Linked DNA regions of Arabidopsis thaliana. The protein of the gene in region 3 interacts with the protein of the main gene of each other region in a pairwise test. Each region holds a gene or a part of one and is shown on either strand. Other genes may lie near its edges.

Region 1 (5,186 bases), on a different chromosome or scaffold from region 3:
ATCCTATTTCACTATATCTCAAAATCAAAATTTTAATTTGTTTTGTGTTAATTCAAGGTAAAATTTTAACATAATAATATTTTAAAACTATATTGTAACATTTAACTATACAAACAAAAATAATTCTCTAATTTAATAAGAATTTAACTACATCAATGATGATCATTTAGTAAGATGGCTTGCTTGTTGTATAAGCACCACTACAAAAGTCTCGTAATGACTTAGAGGTCTAGCAATACGGCACGATAAAGCTAATTTGCCATATGATATGTCATAAACTGTAGTCTCAAAAGGTTGAAGAGCGGTGAGATCCATGGTGTCCAAAGTAATGTGGTAAGAGGAAGCAGCAGAATGCGTGGACTGGTTGTATATACTTATACTACTGAGCTCTATGTTTTTCTCCTAATATTAATCAAGAAAGAATTGTATGACAAAATACATGCATAGACAAAGAAACAAGAAGATCATGTACATATAGAGCGAGTTTAATCAAAGCTGGATCGGAGCAAATTGTAACGATGAAGCCGAGCCTAGCATAAAGGATAATTAAGGCAGGACAAGGAGAAGACTCATCAAAGAGCTTTATAACCAAAATTGCCGATTTCTCTATTAGATAGAAATTGATGAAAGGACATTTTGTTCTTGGTCTGCCGTTTACAAGTAAACTCTCCACAAAAGGGTACATGTGGCGTTACGAGTTACGACCAGAATCACAGGTTCACGTATCAACAAAAACAACGTATAAATCAAGATATTTGAAAAGCCAAAATAATAAACGAAGCTATTAAATTATTCTCATCACTCATGCATGCTGTACTGGAAAGTATAAATTCGTTTTCAAGTCATGTCATATTGTTGACAGGTGAAAACCCCGTGATTAAGATTAAATCTAACCACAGATCCAAATCATCTAATGTAAATGTATCCATAAACCATAAAGAAAAACAAAACGCAGTGTCGTGCTGACCATGGTAACATTGCATCTAGACGTGTCATAAAATTCCCGTGTACGTTCTTGCATAAATTACGAAATCACAACATTAGAAGAACCAGATCATGGAGATTAATTATTTGAAAAAGAGTTTATTATCAAAAGAAACCAAAGATAATTGTCTTAACTACAATGAAAACATAAAATTTACTTAAACGGACAGTCACATAAAATTAGACATGCCGTGATTTTATTTTTCGGTTGCGCGGTTACAAAAAAAAGTGATCCATCTAAGAGAAGAACTTGTAGGTCTTGGCGTTGATAATGATGGTTCTGAGTCCTCCAATTGGGGCAAGGATCGTCAAAAGAACTCCTACTATGATGCAGAACTGTATTTTTTCATAATCCACAACACCAACAAACCAAAACACAAAAATTGTTACTTTACAAGAAAACAAGAGCTATAGATTATGTACCATTGATTACTAAAGAACATACCCAGTTAGCTGTCCAAGATAGACCAAACCTCTTTGGTTTCTTGAGAACGAGCCACATAATGCATGGAAGCTGCAGTTACAAATTAATATGTGTATATAAATTCACAACTTTAATCTATGGATAAACCAATAAAGAAATGAAGGGATTATTTGTACTATACGTAGTAAGTTGTTGGGGCAAAGGCGAATCCTCCAAAGAAGCCGAGTAGTCCACCGAAAAACGGGACGCATATCGCAACAATCATCGTGAAAGCTGCACGGTCCAATGTACATTGATGAAAATGAGATTAATTAATGAATGGAGTAGGAGGATGACGTTACATATGTATAAATGAGGAGTGGGTTCTTACCGACGTAAAGACTACGAGTAATGAAGCGGAGCTTGAAAGAAGGATTGAAATTCATCTTTTTGACCAAAACGGTTTCGAGCATGTCAAAAACTGGCATTGCAAATATCTGAATCCACACAAAGGTGTCAATATTCATGAAATAATTCTTACTTCAATCAAAAATATAGAAGTACTAGAATGTGGAAGAATACCTGATAGCTTCCAATGACATGGATAACCACGAACATGTTAGCCATAGCAATAAGCCAGATAGGCTTCTCCAAAGTGATGAGGATGTTGTCATCAACGCTGTTTCCAAAGATATAATAGCCGAGGAATGCTACAGGGAAGTAACAGATGGCGACTACAATGTAGGCTACAATAACTCCTCTCCACATTGGGACCTTGGATGGCATCTCCGGAGTCGAAGGGATTGTGGCCTGAATCTCCAACACAACGTTGTGACCTGCATAAGCAAAAGCCACATCTCCCAACGCATTCAAGAAGTTGAATACTTTTCCAACATCGGTTGATGCTCTAGGAGAGTAGTCCACATCTGGATGTACCCCTTTGTGCACGGATGCAGCCCAAGCAATAGTTGAGTAACTGTACAGATCATAAAAATCATCAGGCAATAAAACCTAGTTTTCTACATATTTTGGGATTATGCTAAGTTTTTCTTCTAATAACCGGAAAATATACAACAATTTTGATCCCTAGCCTTGAACCACAAGGCATGCTCTAGGTTAATTATTCTAACTTTCTGTTCAAGTTATAAAGTAAAACCAATATATGTGTGTTGAAGAGATTTACGTTAAGGACATAACAGCCGCGGCAAGTGAGATGATGGAGATAGAGTTGAAATTGGGAAGGTGAGAGATAACAAAGTGGACGGAAGCAAAGATCATGATCCAAAACGTAGTTCTGATCTCTTTGCAATCGGGACAGACTAGTTGATGGACTTTCTTGAGGGATGCTCCTCCTGTGACCATATAAACGATGTCAACACCGACCTCCACGATAAGCTGCTGCGGCACGACGATCCATAGGCCAAGCTTTTCACCAAAAGCGTGTTGACCTAGCTCGTGATACCTATCAAGCCTCTTCCCTGGAACAATCTCATGCATCTCCACCATTTGCCACAGTGTGTACAACGTTATGATCCATGACATCACCATAATCGTCACTCCAGGTCCCCTGTAATACATCAAAAACTCAGATCAGATCATGGATTAAAACATAAAGGAGATTAAGATTATCAGATTCAACAAATTAGTATACCATCCGAGATTGGACATAGCGTAGGGCAAGCTAAGAACACCAGCACCAACCATGGCGGTGACATTGTGAAAAGCAGAGTACCACCACTTAGCGTTTCTGGAAGATGTGATCGGTAACCAATCGTCGACGTTCTTCTGCTTGGCCGCCGCAACCTCACTCGCTGACATTTCACTGTTCCCCATATCTCCTTGTGATATAATCGAGAGATAGTGTTTGGTTTTTGAGAAAGAGATTAGATACAATTAAGAAGATTTTAGGAGGATAAAGATAAGAGTGATATTTAAGAGGAGGATAGATATTCTCTGACGGTTTAGGATTTTACCTGCTTAATTATTCTATTCAACGATTTGTTAGCGTTTATGAGAGTGTAATAAATAGGTGATGAGATTCTGACTTTTCCGAATTTGAAGGGAATGTTTGTTAGTTTGTTTGGTAGTTTTGTTTAGTGTGTTTGGTCTTTTTTTTTGCCCGAGGCATAAGGCACCATCGGCTGGAAGCTGTTTCATGCTTAGACCAATTTAAATACTAATTTACCCCCAATCGTTCTTCTTGATTCAATGATTCTCTTTACATTGACATGGCTTTTTTTTGTAATTTCGTACTTTTTTCTCCCTGTATTTGCATGATTTATTTTCTTTTTTGGATAGAGCTGAATTTTTCTTTTCATGGTCACCTGATCTAACGAGTGTTTCGCTTTTAAAAAATAAAATAATATTTATTCGATAGATAAATATATCTTTCTCATTTAATGATTATTTTGAGTTGACCGACAAAAAATTAGCTGTTTTTTTGTTTTTCTTTTAGTAGAATTTATTTATATCTTGATATATATATATATATATATATATATATATATATATATATATATATATATCTAAGAGAAAATATGTTAAAAATCTATATATTTAAGCAATAACTATATTATTAAATTACTAATAGTGGCATAAAAATGCTAACATATTATTAGTTAGACAAAACGCTCTTAGATATATAAGGTGATGAGTTGTATATATTATTATTTTTTGTTAATTTTGCATATTTGTAATGTCGATGATGAGAAATTGAGAATGATCAGAGTATAAATACTCCAACTAAATCTTGGTCGTAGTGACGTTTCGCTAGCGTAATCTCTCTTTTTGACACTGTAAATCAAAATCACGAAACGTCATGACATCAAAAGGAAGATAAATATCTATATATTTTCTTTTTTCATCTTCTATTACAAAGTCAATGAAACAGACGAACTATTTATGCTTAGCGTCACTTGCATCCCGTGATATTTATGAAGGAAAACTAAAATTGTTGAAGCATAAATGCATGGTTATTTGTCACAGTATTCCCAATTGATTAGAGGGTCGCTCGAACGAATCAAGGGACCGCTCCGATTAATGATATGGTTGACTATAAAAAACAATTATTGTTGGTAGTACAATGTCACAAAACGAAACAAGCGTAATAATATAATTTCAAAGCGTGACAAAAAAAATTGTATGTCGTTTTTTATCAACAGTAATTAATCTACTCAACTATCCTTTGAAAATGTTGAATAAAATGTAAAAGAGAAATTAGGTTGAACCGTTGAAGCGTATAGTTTTTGATTACTCAAAAAAATTCAAGTGTTTCAGGTAAGGGGTTCTTTTCTTGTTGAAGGGTTTTCACAGTCAAAGGTGAAAGATGTTGATTCTTTGTCCAACCAAAGGGCAAAGAGGCACAACTAAAAACAGATAAACCCCAAAAATAAGCAACCAAGAAACTTATAGACATTGTGTCAAACCAATACTGTCTATAATAAGTAAAACAAAATCTTTCTTTCACCCTCATATTTGTTTCTAAACCTTCTCATTCCACAAAATCTTAAAGAGAGACGAAGAAGATGGATTCTGGACTATCATGGGCTGATCAATGGGATTACAACTCTGATCCTCCTCCAAATTCAAGTAACGAAGACGATAAGAAGAAGAAGAAGAAGAAGAAGAAGGAAGATGGAAGCAAAAGCGGTATCGGGAAGGCCATACTTGGATTCAAATGGATGAAACTTGGCAAGAAATCTGATAAGTAATCAATAGGTTATTTGTTTAGTTACAAAAGGGTTATTGATTCATCTGTTCCTTGTGATTAATCCATTAAGTTCTGCTTCTCTCTTTTAAC
Region 2 (3,798 bases), on a different chromosome or scaffold from region 3:
CTCTAGATGTTGCAAAGACTAGGCGTCAAATAGAGGTAAACATACCTTTTTCACTTCATCTTTCATAATTCCACTGTGTTGCTCTACAAACTAGAATTCATCGCCAGCTTGCATTAAGTAAGTTTTGGATCTTAAACCAAGTAACAGTTAAATTTGTTTGGATTATGCAGAAGAACACAGATAGAGCCATGACAATGACCACAAGACAAACCTTGGCAGAGATTTGGAGGTATGAGTTAGAGATCCATTAGACAATTTTCGTGTTTCCAAACTTAACCATCCCGGTCGGGTTTTTGGTATAGGGACGGAGGGATGAGAGGGATGTTTAGTGGAGCAGGGGCTAGAGTGGGACGAGCAGGACCATCTGTAGCCATTGTGGTATCGTTTTACGAAGTGGTCAAGTACGGACTGCACAACTTCCACCAACAGTAACACTTATACTAGACAGATTTTGTTTTGATGCGAAGCTAAAAAGAACACACTTGCGCGTCTAATCCAATAAAGGTTACCGTATTAGGTGCTTACGGCAAAACTTGATTTTTTTTTGTCAAGAAGGAATATTATTTATGCAAGTTGTTGCATTTGTTTTTCGTTTTAATATTTTTTGTAAGAACAAGTAAATTAACACGAGATTCTTATGGCAAGAAATTAACTCCATGCATGCTGATCAAGGGTGTGATTTATAAATGACATGTGAAATGGCATATATACAATTCCGTGATTTATAAACTTTTTCATGAGAAATTGTAATCTGAAGATAAGACTTTGAGAATCGAATTCAAAAGAGTTGAGCAAATTTTCTGGCTTTCATATCCTGCTTCTGAACTGGTCAGAGATTTCTTTTGTGAGGCCAATAAAGTTGGTAATTGTCAAATATCTGGTAATTTAAGCTAAATGATGACATTTACACAAATATTATAAGGGAAGAAGAATAAATTTAATATGGAAGAGAATAAACAAAAAAGAACAAACAGTAGAGATTATCATCAATCAATCAATCTCCAGAAATCATAATCGAGAACATGATGATGAAATTAACTCTTGAAAATTTTATCCACAAGAAGAAGAAAAAAGGCAAATTGAAGAAACTAATAAGAAGTTGCAAAGAAATAAAAAAAAACAGAAGAAAGAGAGAGAGAGATTAGAAGAAGGAGTAGGAAGAAGAAGCATCAAGAGGATGAATTAGGTAAGTCAGCACTAACGCCACCACCATTAGCAAATACGCTATCCCTTGATCTATCGATGTTCCTGCCATTTCCAAAACACACCATTTTCAAATGTCAGAGAGAAACGAATTCGTAATCCAATTCGACTGTTTCCAGATTTCACGCGGAGAGAGTCTCGATTCAGATCTGGAAATGCGAATATCGTGGAAGAAGAGAGAGAGAGAAGTAGAGAGGCTTACCATCGCTGGTGGGAGCAGGAGCTGGAGCCAGGGATTGAGCGCCGGCGAGAGATAAGATGACGGCGAATACAAAACTGAACAACGCGAATCCGGTGACGGAGTTTCTCGACGCCATCTCTTGGTGATTGATCCGACGAAAATGATGATGCTCGAGAGAAAAAATCGAGAGCTCTGCAGGTGAAAAACTCCGGCGAGAGAGTGATTCTGCAGAGACGACGGAGGAGAGAGAGAAAACGGTATGAGAGGAATAAAGCAAGAAGTGGAAGGAGACGACTTGTTTAAGGTGTTCTTATAGTATGAAGACCGGTTAAAGGTTACCGGTTTCAACCGGTTATTTATCCGGTCAAATCTATTTACTAGTCAAGCTAATTAAACAAAAAACTTCTAAGAAGCATGATTTTCCTCGAATTTTCTTTTATTCTTTTTTGACCATTCCTCTATTGTTCTTTTTTTTCCTAGTTTTCTTGTCAAAATTGACATTTTTTTTTGAATGAATAATTGTCAAAATTGACATTACTATGTTTCTAGATAAATAAAAAATAAAATCATGTTTGAATGATCAAAAGTATGAATTGTTGTGTTAGAATTTTGACTAAAGTTGTTGTATCTCTAATCCAATTTGATTTGTGAATTGTTGATAGAAAATTGTTTTCTTTTTTCTGTCAACGGATAGAAAAAGATAGAAACTTGATTAGGTACTGATCTAAATTACAATCATATAGCCGATAAAAAAAATTATAATCATATAAGTAAATAAATTATTTATGTAATAAACTTAAATGAATTACAAAAATTCAATATTGGTAGCTTTATAGGGTAAATTCAAAAATAGCAATAGAAATGAAGTTATGGATTATATGGTTTAAACATAAGCCCAAAAACAAAACAAAAAAATCTTTAAAAGAAATTGGCGGCTAGTTTAATTAAACGTTACAGCGACGAAGAAGGCCATGTGATGTGATGTGATTATCTTTTTTTTGTAAGCATTGTTTGGTTGGATTATGATAAAATACAAATCTTTAGAGGTGGTGTAATGGTAGGGGCTGACAGACTGGCAGCCAAACTGGACTCATTCGTCATATGTGACTCATTAGTCAGTCTCTCTCTCTCTCTATTATTCCTTTTTTTTATTGATACTCAATTATTTGTTTCTGCTATGTCGATTAATTTATTTAACGGCTATCTCAGTAGGTGTTAATCTGCGTGATTATCGGTTAATCTGCCAACATTTTGATTTTTTAAATACTAAAGATTTTCCTATCTATCTCACATGTGGTGTCAGAATAAAACAATTTATCGTGATGATGTTATCTTACATATGCTGTTTTGTTTAGGTAGAGTGTATTTTACAATATTAAAAACTTTTTAACTTGACACTATTTATAATACTAAACAGTAAATAACGATTTTTCTATGGTTTTTGATTCATAACCATGGCAGATTGATTGATTTTACCATTCTATTCCATATCCTTTTTCTTTTTCTTTCAAGGTTATCAGTTAAAAATTAAAATATATATGAGTGTGCTTGACTTCTTTTTTAATTTGGAGTACCTCGGTTGTTGAATGTACGACAATATGAATTATTTGTTGTATAGTTATTATATTTGTTATTTAATGATTCATGTAATCTTTATTAGGTGGCTAATTCACTAACTAGTAAGAGGAATTAGCCGTTGGATCAGTTACATCAATCATTTTATGTTTCAAAATATATATACTATAATAATATCTTTTAACATAACAGGAACGTGCATGTTGCAGTTGGAAATAATGTAGGGTCATCTTTTTTCAAATTTGCAAATCCTAAAACGTTATCAGCTTTTACTTTTCAAGGGTTACTAATGGTTCAGAAATCAGAATGAATGTAGTAAATCCAAAAGGAATAATACACATATATATATGTGTCACATGTGTGCGGCCAAAATAGTTCACTGACTCTTGCTCTCTCATATCTTCAATCATGTTTTTTTTTTTTTTAAACATATCTTCAATCACGTTACTCGACTGGTGGTGTTTCACGGGTGAGAAATATATGTATTTACGTATTAATTTCTTAGAATGAATATTCTACAAATAAAAGTTACTATTTGTTCTTACGTCAAAAGAATAGAGAGTTATTAAAAAGGCCACTTGATTAAAAATATATGAATAATCAATTGATGTTAATAATAATAAACTTCGTATATAAAAAATTGTCGTATATGACGACTAAAATTTAAGCACAAAAAAAAGTCTTGTGGTATAATAATTTTGATCAAAGAAAGAAAATAGAGATGAGCACAAAGAGCCTAAAATAGAGGGACAATGAAAAGGATGGAGTAATGGGATTGTTTGAAGCAACCATGTGCCCTGTGAACCCAACTTGCCTCTTTTGGTTCCAATTCGATTACC
Region 3 (5,132 bases):
GGAATACTGGAATAAATAGAAGAAATTAGAAGAGATGACAAAAATGGAGAAAATGGCTTCTCTGTCAGAGCTTCGTTTCCTCGTAACGATGCATCTGTAACCTAAACACATAATTCTATTTTTCTTTTTGTTTAATTTAGTTTGTTTCCCTGTCCGTTTTTCCATTTTTAAATTTGATTTTCCACAAATCTAATTTTTGCTGAATTAATGTAATGTTGCTCTATGGGATTAATCAAACAAGCATTGGACTACATATATTGACATGTTTTAAATGAGAACTGTAAATATGAACTAATTCCAATGACAAATCTTTTTCAAGCTGTGATGATGGAAACAAGTGATTGCTTCCAATGCAAGAAACTATATTGCCGAAATATAGTTTGAGTGTTTTTGGTAGAATTCAAGATTGATGTTGTTTATAGAAGCAAGCACGAGTGGCTTGGGAAGACATTGACCCGTTATTTTCTAGAAAAAGATGTGAGACACTGTTTTCGTCTGCCTTTGTCTCTTCTGGACACGAAAACCATATCAAATCACACAAGGGTGTACCAGACTTTATCGAGTGAGATTGAAGAGATCACGCCCTTGGTTGGCTTGGGATCATCTTTCTTAACTCTTTAAGTATAGATTGTATTTTTGACGTAATTTGAAAGAAGAAATGTGGCAATTTCTTACACTTTTTCTAAAGGGTATTTGTTTCATTAGGTATAATTTCTTCGTGCAAAAATAGAAAACTTTGTCTGTTAGTGTTAGGTTATTATAATGATGAAACACATTCACAAGACTTAAATGTATGGGTGACAACTAGTATGGATTCAGTCATCTCATGGAGCAAGTTCTCAACAGTGCAAACCATTAATCCGAGTTGGAATATGTTTGCTGATGGGATGAGTTTCTTGGTCGGCGAGCATAACAAAGTTGTATTGTGTTACCCTAACCGGACCCCCAACGAAATCTTACACATTGGGGAAGAAATTTATCACATACAACATTTGGATGATCATGATAGAGATTCTACCTCAAGATCATCTTTTCTTCTGAATTATGTTCCAAGTTTAGCTCGAATAAAGATTAGTATGAATCAATATTAGACAAGAAAGTATTCAGACAAGAGTGCGGTTGAGATTACACCGATTAAACACAAAACTGATGCAAAATCTGCAAACTTATTCGAAGAGCCAGAGAAGAAGTAGATCTTGTGGCTACTGCTCTCTCCTCTGAAGCCTCTAACAATCATGGCCTGCATGCACATAAATTACAAACTTCTTCAACAGAGAATTCTTATTTGATTCTCAAATCAATGAGATGATAATAAGTGAAATCTATTTGACCTGTGATATTTGTTCGGCATGACGAAATATATTCTTGAAGATGCGGCGTATGAATGACGCGAAAACTACAAAAAGCGATCACTTGTAAGATGAGATGTATATAGAAAGAGAGAAGAAACTTTTAGATTCTTACTATCAAGTGTCTCCAGAACAGTAAGCTGCTGCCAGTTTACTCTTCGCGATACAATTCCCAGTGAAACACTTCGGACCTACAATGTAACATATGCACAACGTACCATTATGTGGTTTAGGACTTGGAATAACTAGGCTGATTGATAATATTAAAGCGAATAAGTGAACAGTCGTTACCTCATCGAAAACCAAATTAATGAATCTCAGTGAAAGCAGTAGCGTGAGGATAATTTCACTGACTGGAACACCAATATATGTCAATGGGAACAAGAACCAACGTAGAGCTAGTGCAAGTTGCTCTGGTGTTGTTGTTGCAAGGCAAATACTAGCACTTTGGAAGATCTGTGACCAAAAACCAAATGTTCCATTAAGTGATCTAATCAAGAAAGGAAATAGGTAAACCGCGGAAGTCGAAAAACCGACTTACAATAAAGGTTAAGCATGCGGCTGTGCTTCCAACAGACAAACCTTTCCTTGTGAATTGCAAAGGACCAAGCTTCAGTAACATGTACGAATAACCGCTTAAAGACATGGGAAGATTAGGCAAGCTTGTGATTGAAGATGGTGGTGTTCTTGATTGAAGCATTGGAGGTGCACCATCTGAACCTAGCCCCAATGTTATGAAGAGAATACCCGAAAGAAGCGACACTCTCGCCAATTGATCCTTTACAGAAAAAGTTAGGAAACTCAGCAGAGCAGATAGATCACATATAGAAACAGAGTTGTGACAGAGAAACAGAACTCACTATCCAAACTTGTCTTGGGAGAACAAGGATTGACAAAAGAGCTGTGCATAGAACAAGTCCTAAACGCACAACTAGATTTGCTCTTGCTGGAAGAACTACTAGAGTTAATAGCCATACCTACACATATATACAAATACCAAAATTCAAGCTTTAACAAAAAAAAAAAGACTCAAACTTTTTAACAAAATTGGATTAGAAATTTGATAAGAATCAAGAATTCAATATACCAATTTGATTCTGGGATCCACCGAGTGGAGAAATGTCACAGGAGACGATATGAATTGTCCGATGGGACTTCCGGTGGCGCTTGAAATCAATCTGAAGACGTTTTCGGCTCCAAGTCCTGGAATTGGTAACCGGTTCACCCAATTACCGGTTTTACCGTCTCCGTCGACGGTGGCTCTGACAATGAAAACCCTTTTCGCGGCGAGAGAGGAGGAAGGAGTCTCATTAAGCCGGAGCGGGAAGAGAAGCTTAGGGTTTGTAAAGTTCCGGTTAGGAATTGGAGATGTGAGATGACGAATTGGGTGTTTGGGGATTAGGGTTACGGTGAGGGAGACTGTTGGATTGGCAAGATTGGAGTGATTCATGAGTTTTCAATTTCGGATTGGATCAGACATATGCCCTAGAGCGGGAAATTCTGTACTTGGTAGAGAGAGAGATACTGTAAACTGTCAAGTGTTAAACTGTTGTACTTGTTGGTTTTGTCGGACGTTGACTGTGGTTCTCAACTTCTCATAATAACAAAAGTCAAAGTATACCAAAATTTGGATTTCGGTTCTTGTTCGAATTTGATGTATATATAGACTCGTTTTGGATTTTCTCACACTCTTTTTGTATAAATCTTTTCTCGTAGAGTCATAGCCACACCAAAACCAAGATTAAGTAATTTGATACAATACAGCATATGAAAATGTAACTTAGCTTTTAAGATAGATAACATATTACTGCCTAGGAGCATTTTTGACAATTTTTGAGGTGATGGAAAAAGTTGGCTCGAGAGCTTTTTGAATATTCCAGGCGGTTCGGCCTAAGCTGCCCGTTGTTTCCAGTATTATTCCGGTGGTTTTTCCGGCTTTCTCTCCAAAACTTTGGTGCGGTCATCACAAAAATGTGAATATGTGTTACACTCAACTCAATAAATGTATAAAATTGTAAAATTCGATGGTCATGTAAACATGTTATATAACTCATCTAAACAATCCTAACAAATAAAAATGATAACCTATCTCTAAAAATCATTAGCTACCCCTCAAAACTATTTGGTAATTAATTATTAGATTGTATGCACGCTATACAATAATTCTACCAACTTCGATTTTATTTTCTACCGATATAATCATTCTTTTGATTCAAATACCGGTGTGTTACTATAGAAACATAATTCATTCTCAAAATTGAGGATCACAAAGTGAGCTTTTTACCTCTTACTCACAAGTCTAGTAGCAGCCATGGATGTGGCATAATGAGTTTGTATTTCTGCCGCTTCAGCAGCACCAATTATATTATCTATTGACCACATCAAAGTGTTTATCTGTTTTATTTAAATTTTGATCTCAAAAACTTCAAAATAAATGAATATGAGTATAGATTGACAATTAATGGAGCTATTCTATGTAACTTACGAAAAGAATCAAGTGATGCCAAGATAACCTCTCCTGGAGCAGTGGATAACAATGCCTTCCCTAACTTCGACTTAACCACCGGAGCTATCATCGAACTGCTCACCAAATCTCCACCTTCTAAGGCCGCCATTCCTATAGCCTCGCTCACCTTCCACAGCTTCTCCGCTCTATGTATATGTTACATCCAACAAAATAACCAAGATTTGGTTCATTATAAGAAGGAACAAGAACCAAGATTTTATTGTTTGGTATAATATATACTATTTTGTGGGATAGAGATTAAAATATGAATACCTTTGAAGATTTTTGTTGAGTTTATTCTTCTTATTAGTTTCATTGTTGCCACCTCCATCAATTTGTGATATGTCACCACTTCTTTCCTCATCCTCTTCAGCAATCGTTCCTTCCTCGTGAATCTGTTTTTGTTGTAAGAAAATAAAACGATATTAATAATAAAAAATACTACAATATGTGCGTCTTACATCTCCATGTTCATATAAAAGTTTTTAAAAATCCAACACAAAAATAAGATGATCTATACTAGTAAATAAAACACATAAGTCGTTCCACAAGTTGGGTTTGAATTGGAAGTTCATGATTCTTTACTACAACAAATATTTCGATTCAAATCACAATCATCTATTAACACTCATAAGCATCATGAGAGGGACTTATATGTATGAGACCTTCTTAGAGTAAGAATTGCTACAAGTGAAGATTCCCTTGATGATATGCCCTGTTCCTACCGCGATGGCCTTGGCTACACCATTTTTGTAGTCTTCAGCCTTCGGTGCAAACTTTTTCCAATCAATTTCATTGTTGTTCTTACCTGAAGTACTTGAAGATTTCTCCCCCATGATATCTCCAAGAAACTCAGGGTTTTCCATGATTTCTCCGTCTTCCCCTAAGAAACTCAAGGCTAGCTCCAACAGTTCGGATTTATCGACGATTTGGACTCCGTAATCGGGATTCTCCAACAAAACTTCTTCGTTCACCGCTTGGGCAGATTGGTTTTCTTGGGTTGATGTGGACATTGTGTCTTCTTTCTTAGTACAGTAGTACTTTTAAGTTTGGTTTATATGTGAGGCTCGTTCCTATATAATGTTGGATGATCGAAGGTAATGACGTAAACACTTACCATTTGATCATATTAATAACCAACAAAAATGTAAGACCATAAAATATGATCATATAGCTTGGTAGTGAAGAATAAGTAAAATTTTCTAGTTGTATAACTAGCAAGTTGTTTCAACAGAAGATGAGAGAATACCTTTTCTTAATATATGATTTCATCTATA
Region 4 (7,329 bases), on a different chromosome or scaffold from region 3:
TTTTATTATATTGTTTGTTTTAAGTTTAGGATATAATTTATTTCTATTTATTTATCCATCCACTGATTATGCAACCTAAATTTTAAGTTCAACGTGATATCCACAGCTATCTCTCTTCTATCTTTTTTTTTTTCGTTAGTGTGAGTTACTTTTTAGACTCGCAAGAGAGACAACAATGGTGGCAGCAGAAGTGTTTGACCCTTTTACAGCCGTGAAAAAAGGATTCCAAATCTTTCACAATATATGATTCCCTTATAACTTTTCATTTTAATTTAGTTGATTTTGTATGAAAGCTTCTTTTGGATTTTCTATTTATTAGCTAACAGTAAAAAAGCATACAAACCTATATACTAGTTATTTATTTTTGTCAAACCCCAATATATTAATTGAGTGAATAAACGTTAAAACGGAATTCAATTGTAGGTTAAATGAATGATGGAATATACAGCATGTGGCAAAGAGGTAGACACAAAATAAAGCAGTAGATATTTTTGCTTCATGCCAAATATGTTTTGGACTTGGTGTTCTAGAAGTCTAATATGATATATATATATATATATATTTTTTTTTTTTTTATGTACCCAAGAAGTCTAATATTAATATTAACAGTAATAGCAGTAGTAGCTTTTCTTTACAACATATTAGTTGGGTTGTACTCATTTACCGTCCGTAATCGATAAAGGATGAAACTATGCCTAATAACGTGATCCTCCATAGAAATGATCAATTAAAACTATACTGTTTATATTTCTATCAAGTCATAACATAGTGTATATGATATAGTTCCAAATGCAATCCATCTAACTAGATTACTTTTATGATTTTAAATATACTTGTTAGAGATGGTTTTCTGATTCCAGGCAGAGAGTATGATGACAAAGTTATAAAATAAGACAAAACTGTGAACTATATCTAACACTTCTACATAATGAAAGGTAAAATTTTATTAAATATTCTAGTTCTTACATATTATGATACATACATTGTCATAGTAATTATTCAAACAACATCGACAATCTTCTTGTTGTCCCTAAGGATAGTCTATTAAATCATTTCATCGATTTCTTCGAAGTCATCTCAACATCATCGGAGGACTTGTCCTCCTCAAAGTCTTCAATCGGTAAACCGACCTTGTACCGGTATCCCCGAGCACAATACCAAAAGTAAACCAGATTAACCACACCCAAAACCGCAATCAGATAATAGAAGTAATCCAATTTTCCCGCGTTGAGATTCTTGTTTAGCCAATCCGGACGATCATGCCCACCGGAGAATTTATGAACGACAGTCACAAGGAAACTACTAAGGTAGCTCGAACCGGCGAACGATAAAGAGAAGAGAGAGTTAGCGATACTTCTCATGTGCTCTGGAAACTGACTGTTGAAGAACTCAATTTGTCCGATGATATTGAATGCTTCACATAGTCCCATGAGAATTAGCTGCGGCGAAAGCCAAAACACCGACATTGGAGTCATTCCCGTTGGATCTCCGGCATTGATGGAGCGTATGCGTCTCATACGCTCCACAATGCCCGCAACGATCATAGAAAAGATCGCGAAAACGATCCCTGTTCCTATCCTTTGGAGGAGTGTGATTCCGGATTTATGGCCGGTGATTCGCCGCATGAATGGTACAAAAACGCGGTCGTAGAAGGGAAGAAAGATGCCGATTGTGAGGAGAGAGATGACGGAGAGTGAACCAGCCGGAATCTCGAATTTAGGACCTAAGTTTCGATCCATTTTCAAAGCTTGAGAGACCGTGAAAGTGCCTTGTGTTGTCATGGCCGCGAGTGAGATTATTCCGGCCGACCAGATAGGAACAATTCGGATCAAACACTTCACTTCTTCCACTTCTTGGACGCTGCATAACCGCCACTTGTCTGCGGGAGGTCCCTCGGGTGTTAGGTCACCTTCTATAACCACCGCGGCTTTGTCAAGACACCTAATTTTATGCCATTTCAGTTAGACTATAGGTTAATACAAAATCATGTAATCAGTGTTGTCTTAAAACCACCTTGAAAGTGATAAGCAAAAAATAAAAACAAAAATCATATATTAAGTACCTGAATTGGTTACTGCGGTGTAACTTGGATAACACGCTAGACTTGATGGCTGGGTCGTAATAGGTGACAGTGCCGTCATCTTCCGCCGGAAGTTTCAGCTTTCGCTTCTTACGAGCTGCCACGATAACTTGAGCGATCCCAGAGAATATACTTCCTTCTGGTTTAACGTAGACATAACGCTTCATTCCGGCAAAAAACATAACAACCGCAAGAGCCATGAGTCCGGTAGGGATACTAAAACCGATAATCCAACTGACTTGATCCTGGATATACACAACTACGGTCTGTGTAATGATCAGAACCACAGTGAAAGTCATGTAATACCAGTTGAAGAAACTGGCCACTCCTTTAACCCCTTCCTCAGTTCGTTGGTCAAACTGATCAACCCCAAAAGGGATGCTACAAGGTCGTATTCCTCCACTCCCTACGGAGAGGAAACAGAGTCCCAATAGCAAAACTCCGATCTGGAGCTTATTCGGACCGCCGCAACTGAGTGGGTCCTGGCTGTTGCATGATGCTGGGTGGAGTTGAGGAAACGATGCTGTGAGTGTAATTGTTATTAGTCCCTGCATGTTGTCAATGTAATTATAATCAGTCATTATTAATTTTGAAACCGATTCTTCATTATTAGATATTCTATAATATATAACTTGAAACTGAATGATTGTTAATTAATATTGAAGAAAGCAAACAGTAGTGTGGGATATATAGATTGAAGTTATGCGAACAAATACAAACAATTAATAAAGTTTACAATAGTCTTAATTAGGTTTGACTTCATATGATTGAAAAGTGATGTTACCTTGATTAGGTGAAAGTGACAGTGACGTAGAACCTAATATCATTTATTTCTGTTGTAACCCTAATATAGTAATATGAGCATTTGTAACAGTTTAAGTTCAACGTTTAACTAATTACGAAAAAGACAAAAAAGTGCAAGAGAAATTAACAAGTTGGATGCGATCATAATTCTATAATTGTGAATGAAACAGACACTAGAAAAGTAACTATTATTATATACGTAACGTCACTGTGATACTGACCAAATCTAAAACCCAACTAGCTAGCTAAATCATCAAGAAACTCAAACACTCAATTATTGGACAATCTCATTGTCAATAATCTATATTGACCACTTGCGTATCTCTTCCTTTTCTACGCACATCTCTTTATCTCTTAAACAGAACACGTTCTAATACGTAACTCCTTTATTGGAAAATGTTTCATCAATGAACAAAAGATGTTTACGTGAGATAAGTATTTTCTTACCATTTTTTTTGGATGTTATATAAATTTTCAAGGTAAATACCGACAAGAATAAGTGTACTAACTAATGCTTTTGTTCTTATGATTCACATTATTGACCGACCTTATCGTCCTCGATAGCGTGGTCCCTCAATAAGTTCATGCGTTTTCGTACGATACAAAAGTAATTTAATAGCTTTTGATATAGAAAAAAAGAGAGTAACATAATAGGTATAAAATAATATATAAAGTGTTAATACTTTGTCATTTACATATATATATACTTAATTTAATTTGTCTATACGTATTTTCTTATCATGTCCACGTGCGGGGTGAAATTATGTGCCAAGTATCATGTATCGTCGCCACACACACAAAAAAACACGTAAATTGAGTAGTAATATAGAACTTTCTATTTAGAGTTGTTATGTTTTTTGTTGGATGCAACTATTCGAACAGTGGACGCTAAAGCACTGACCCATGCTGGCAGTAGGCCGCGAATAGTTGCGGATTTGAGGTGTTAGGAACATATAAAGTAAATACTACTACGTACGTAAATGTTGTGTATTTGTAGACACATTAGATTATTTATTTTTATTTTAGTTTTTTAAAAAGATTATATAAAATTTTCAATAAGTTAAATAAAAAAATATTATACGTACGAGGAGAGTGGCGAATGAGGCGAAAGCGATGGTCTTGAAGCGGCCAACATAAGTGTCTGAGATATACGCTCCGACGAGAGGAGTGAGATTGGTGAAACCTGACCAAATGTTGATGACATTTGCAGCGTCGACTTGTTCTAAGTGAAACACTTTGGTTAGATAAACCATGAAGTTTGCCAACAATCCTATCGATCCCAGTCTCTCCAGCGTCTCATTTCCTATTCAACCCATTTTATTACAAAATATTATCAGCAAATAAATCGACAAATAATCCCTCTATTGAAGAATATCAATTATACTCCATTTTATCTAGTAATTATCATCACTAACAAAATTAATCATATTCCATTAAATAGAGAGAAATAAAATATTATAAAAATTTAAAAGTATAAAATAATTTAAAATGAAAGTTAACATTTTGGCTAAAAGAGCACTTATGATGACAAATTTTTATTCCATTTCAGTTATAAAGTCGTCAGCTAGACGAGTGTCAAACATGTTGGACCGACGGTTACGAGAGTAATATATAATATAATTTTTGATCGAGCTGAAAAGATTATGCGCTCATTTCTTTTGTTCTGACTATTATGTGCAATGATTTAGGCAGAACGTGATCTTGCAACGGCCCGTTACATCTCCCAATGATAATATATTAACTGGTTTCTAGAACTATATATCCAATTAAGGAAATTAACAAAAAAATATTAGCCAATAACTGAGGAAAGGTCAAGGATTAGGTAAACTAAATTATGTACACGAAGCCTAAAAATAAAATTAAAATACCTAAAATGAACGAGACGGCTCTCCATCCTCCAGGCTTTTTCTCTACCTTCTCAGCATCCAATATAGATCCCGGCGAACTTATCCGCTTGTAGGGATCAACAACATCCAACTCCGACGGTGACGATTTAGAGAAACTACCGGATCGTCCCGGCAAAGAAGAACCGTCCTTTCTATCCTCCAAAACCATCTCTAAGATATTACTACACTCGTGATATACTCACTTCGATTTCGGGGTGGATTTAATGTTGTGAGAATATATTCTCACTTTTTTGCAATCAAGGTAACACACATGAAGTGATTGATAAATGTAGAGAGTGGGCACAACATACAGACACTTTCTCTTTGTTAGAAGCTTTTTTGGGTGTAGTGAATTATTTGTGGAAGTGTGTATATATAAGGGAGTGAGTAGATAATATATGGTGGGTGTGGGTAAATTTGAATGACGTTCGCCACTAGTAGCCTCCACGTGAGAAGTTTGAAGAGGAAAATTAAAAGAAAACTATTTTAGTGCTATGTTTTTTTTGTTTTTCTTACACCGTACGTAACATTATTGTTTTGTTCCACGTATTGTGAACCTTCCATGTTCCATACAATTGTAACGTTAAAATACGATGTTAAATTAATGAACCATCTTTTACAGTACATTTGCATCGTAAGGGGTTGATGGATGATATTTTTTGTTCACGCGGTTTTATGTGTGTTGTCGGTCATATATATGGTATGATGTGTCTCAAAAGGACATCTAATCTTTTTTACCTAAAAATGATATGATATCTCATAAATAAGCGAGATTTTATTTTCTCTAAAGCATATTTTATTTTTATTTTCTTAAAGGAAGTGAGATTGTATCGATTTTTTCTATTAATCAATCAGTTGACTTAGTTCTACACTTTAATGATCCTGACAAAATCTTAAAATTTATATAGAACCTTTTAAAATTTTTACTATTATTGATAGAGATAAACATTTGTCACATTTATACGATTTTGACTCATGGCGATAGATTCTTCGAAGTTAAAACTCTCTTTCAAACTAGTTAATAAGAGTAGATTTTATTTACTGCTTTATACAATTCACACACTTGAAACGTCCAATATGTCATCTTGGCATACAATTGCTTGTTGAGAGTCGTTCAATTGGTAAACAAATAAATAAAACTCAAAACGTACATACCAACATGATCTAATATTTTTGCACAAAAAGTCATCGCACTCTAAGATGAACCTTAAACTATTTTGGGTTGCAATCAAACAAAGAAACACATATCACCAAAATTTAATATAATAAAGTTAGAAACAATAGTACACATATAGAGCTGGCCTTAAAACTTTGGAAGCTCATACCAAAAAATAAAATAAAAAAATGACATATCACCAATTAATACATTGAGATGAATTTGTGCAGGAAGTGATTAAATTTCGAACCCACTTAATCCTCCTAAAAATATTAACAGAATTTCCGAGAAAGAAACTAATTCTATTTATTCGTATATAATTTTATACGATTGCTCGAATGTGTGGTACATATGTTTATCTAGATGTTGAGTTGAGAAATTCCATGTCTAGATATTTTTCAATTCTAAATTTTCATTGATTTATTGTAGAAAAAAATATTAATCAACCACTTCAACTTCAAAACAATTCGCATCATTTTTTTTTCTCAATGTAAAATATATATTATATATAGAAACAATGAAAATCTTCACAAGAAATGAACATTAATAATAAAATTATCATTGAATGTTTATGTTAAAGGAAAGATTAAGTCCAACCAAACTTGTAAAATTCAAATTGAACACAAACATAAAAATCGGTGAGTGAAGACAGAAACAGAAAGAGAAATACGATAAGATGAGGTAGGCTTTTATCGCCTTTTAGGCAAATGCAAGTGCCTAACACTGTCGCATGCGCGAGCCATCAAATTTCTACGCAAACCCTCTTTGTCTTTTCTTCTTTATTAATTTTTTTTTGTTTGGACCTTTACGTGGGATCCTATACCGTATCACCGTTCGATTTTATGGTCATATTATTGTACACCGTTCGATCATCTTATCTCTCTTCACCATTCTCAATGGTCAGATGATATGAACCGTGGACTGGGTGCCTAAGGTTTGGACTGCTTTTACTAATCTGTCTCAATATGCTGAGCTGTGTGGTGCGGGTCACTATCAAACATATGCATTTTAATGGTCATGATCGAATAACGAAAAATGTATATGGAGTTTGATAGATAACTCCAACTCTTAGAAAGCTCACTTTTTCTATTTTGTATTTGAGAGGATCATATCTACCGACTTCATATGGTTATACTAAGAGATATTTATATAATATCCTCTTATAAAGTATACCATAATTACTTACTAAAGCATGTTAAATGTGGGAATACATTTTTGACCCTGCTGAAAGAAACATAATTATTAATCATTTCTTAAGTTACTATCTCAAGTATGTTATAGGAAAATATTTGCACCTACATATATAAACATTTGATCATTTTTTTGTAGTATATACTGTTAGATTGAATTCAGGTTTTTGATATAAAAGTCGATTTTTTATAATCCAGTTGTGCATAACAAAT

What was found.
Region 1: the proteins of ABCI12 (region 3) and LHT2 interact in a protein complementation assay, tested with the Arabidopsis thaliana proteins (one large-scale study listed by BioGRID).
Region 2: the proteins of ABCI12 (region 3) and AGP16 interact in a protein complementation assay, tested with the Arabidopsis thaliana proteins (one large-scale study listed by BioGRID).
Region 4: the proteins of ABCI12 (region 3) and NRT1.7 interact in a protein complementation assay, tested with the Arabidopsis thaliana proteins (one large-scale study listed by BioGRID).

What each region holds. Positions count from the first base shown.
Region 1 is NC_003070.9:8,650,342-8,655,527, forward strand, and holds LHT2 (lysine histidine transporter 2), read right to left. Parts: upstream 3,575-5,186; 5' UTR 3,221-3,574; coding exon 3,039-3,220; intron 2,955-3,038; coding exon 2,571-2,954; intron 2,364-2,570; coding exon 1,970-2,363; intron 1,885-1,969; coding exon 1,779-1,884; intron 1,682-1,778; coding exon 1,590-1,681; intron 1,499-1,589; coding exon 1,430-1,498; intron 1,321-1,429; coding exon 1,222-1,320; 3' UTR 1,066-1,221; downstream 1-1,065. Other genes in the region: AT1G24405 (uncharacterized protein), read left to right, coding at 4,912-5,097. UniProt on the Arabidopsis thaliana protein: Amino acid-proton symporter. Transporter with a broad specificity for neutral and acidic amino acids. Basic amino acids are only marginally transported.
Region 2 is NC_003071.7:19,017,589-19,021,386, forward strand, and holds AGP16 (arabinogalactan protein 16), read right to left. Parts: upstream 1,777-3,798; 5' UTR 1,521-1,776; coding exon 1,406-1,520; coding exon of another isoform or gene 1,347-1,405; exon of another isoform or gene 1,249-1,346; coding exon 1,142-1,248; 3' UTR 676-1,141; downstream 1-675. Other genes in the region: AT2G46320 (Mitochondrial substrate carrier family protein), read left to right, coding at 1-35, 171-229, 303-432. UniProt on the Arabidopsis thaliana protein: Proteoglycan that seems to be implicated in diverse developmental roles such as differentiation, cell-cell recognition, embryogenesis and programmed cell death.
Region 3 is NC_003074.8:7,600,922-7,606,053, forward strand, and holds ABCI12 (cobalt ion transmembrane transporter), read right to left. Parts: upstream 2,979-5,132; 5' UTR 2,800-2,978; coding exon 2,437-2,799; intron 2,327-2,436; coding exon 2,210-2,326; intron 2,128-2,209; coding exon 1,891-2,127; intron 1,806-1,890; coding exon 1,641-1,805; intron 1,541-1,640; coding exon 1,465-1,540; intron 1,397-1,464; coding exon 1,332-1,396; intron 1,241-1,331; coding exon 1,088-1,240; 3' UTR 901-1,087; downstream 1-900. Other genes in the region: AT3G21590 (Senescence/dehydration-associated protein-like protein), read right to left, coding at 3,630-3,718, 3,835-4,001, 4,129-4,250, 4,521-4,594, 4,664-4,868.
Region 4 is NC_003070.9:26,313,818-26,321,146, reverse strand, and holds NRT1.7 (nitrate transporter 1.7), read right to left. Parts: upstream 5,361-7,329; 5' UTR 4,940-5,360; coding exon 4,753-4,939; intron 4,188-4,752; coding exon 3,970-4,187; intron 2,629-3,969; coding exon 2,063-2,628; intron 1,942-2,062; coding exon 1,050-1,941; 3' UTR 914-1,049; downstream 1-913. UniProt on the Arabidopsis thaliana protein: Low-affinity proton-dependent nitrate transporter. Not involved in dipeptides transport, but has a weak glucosinolate transport activity. Involved in phloem loading and nitrate remobilization from the older leaves to other tissues.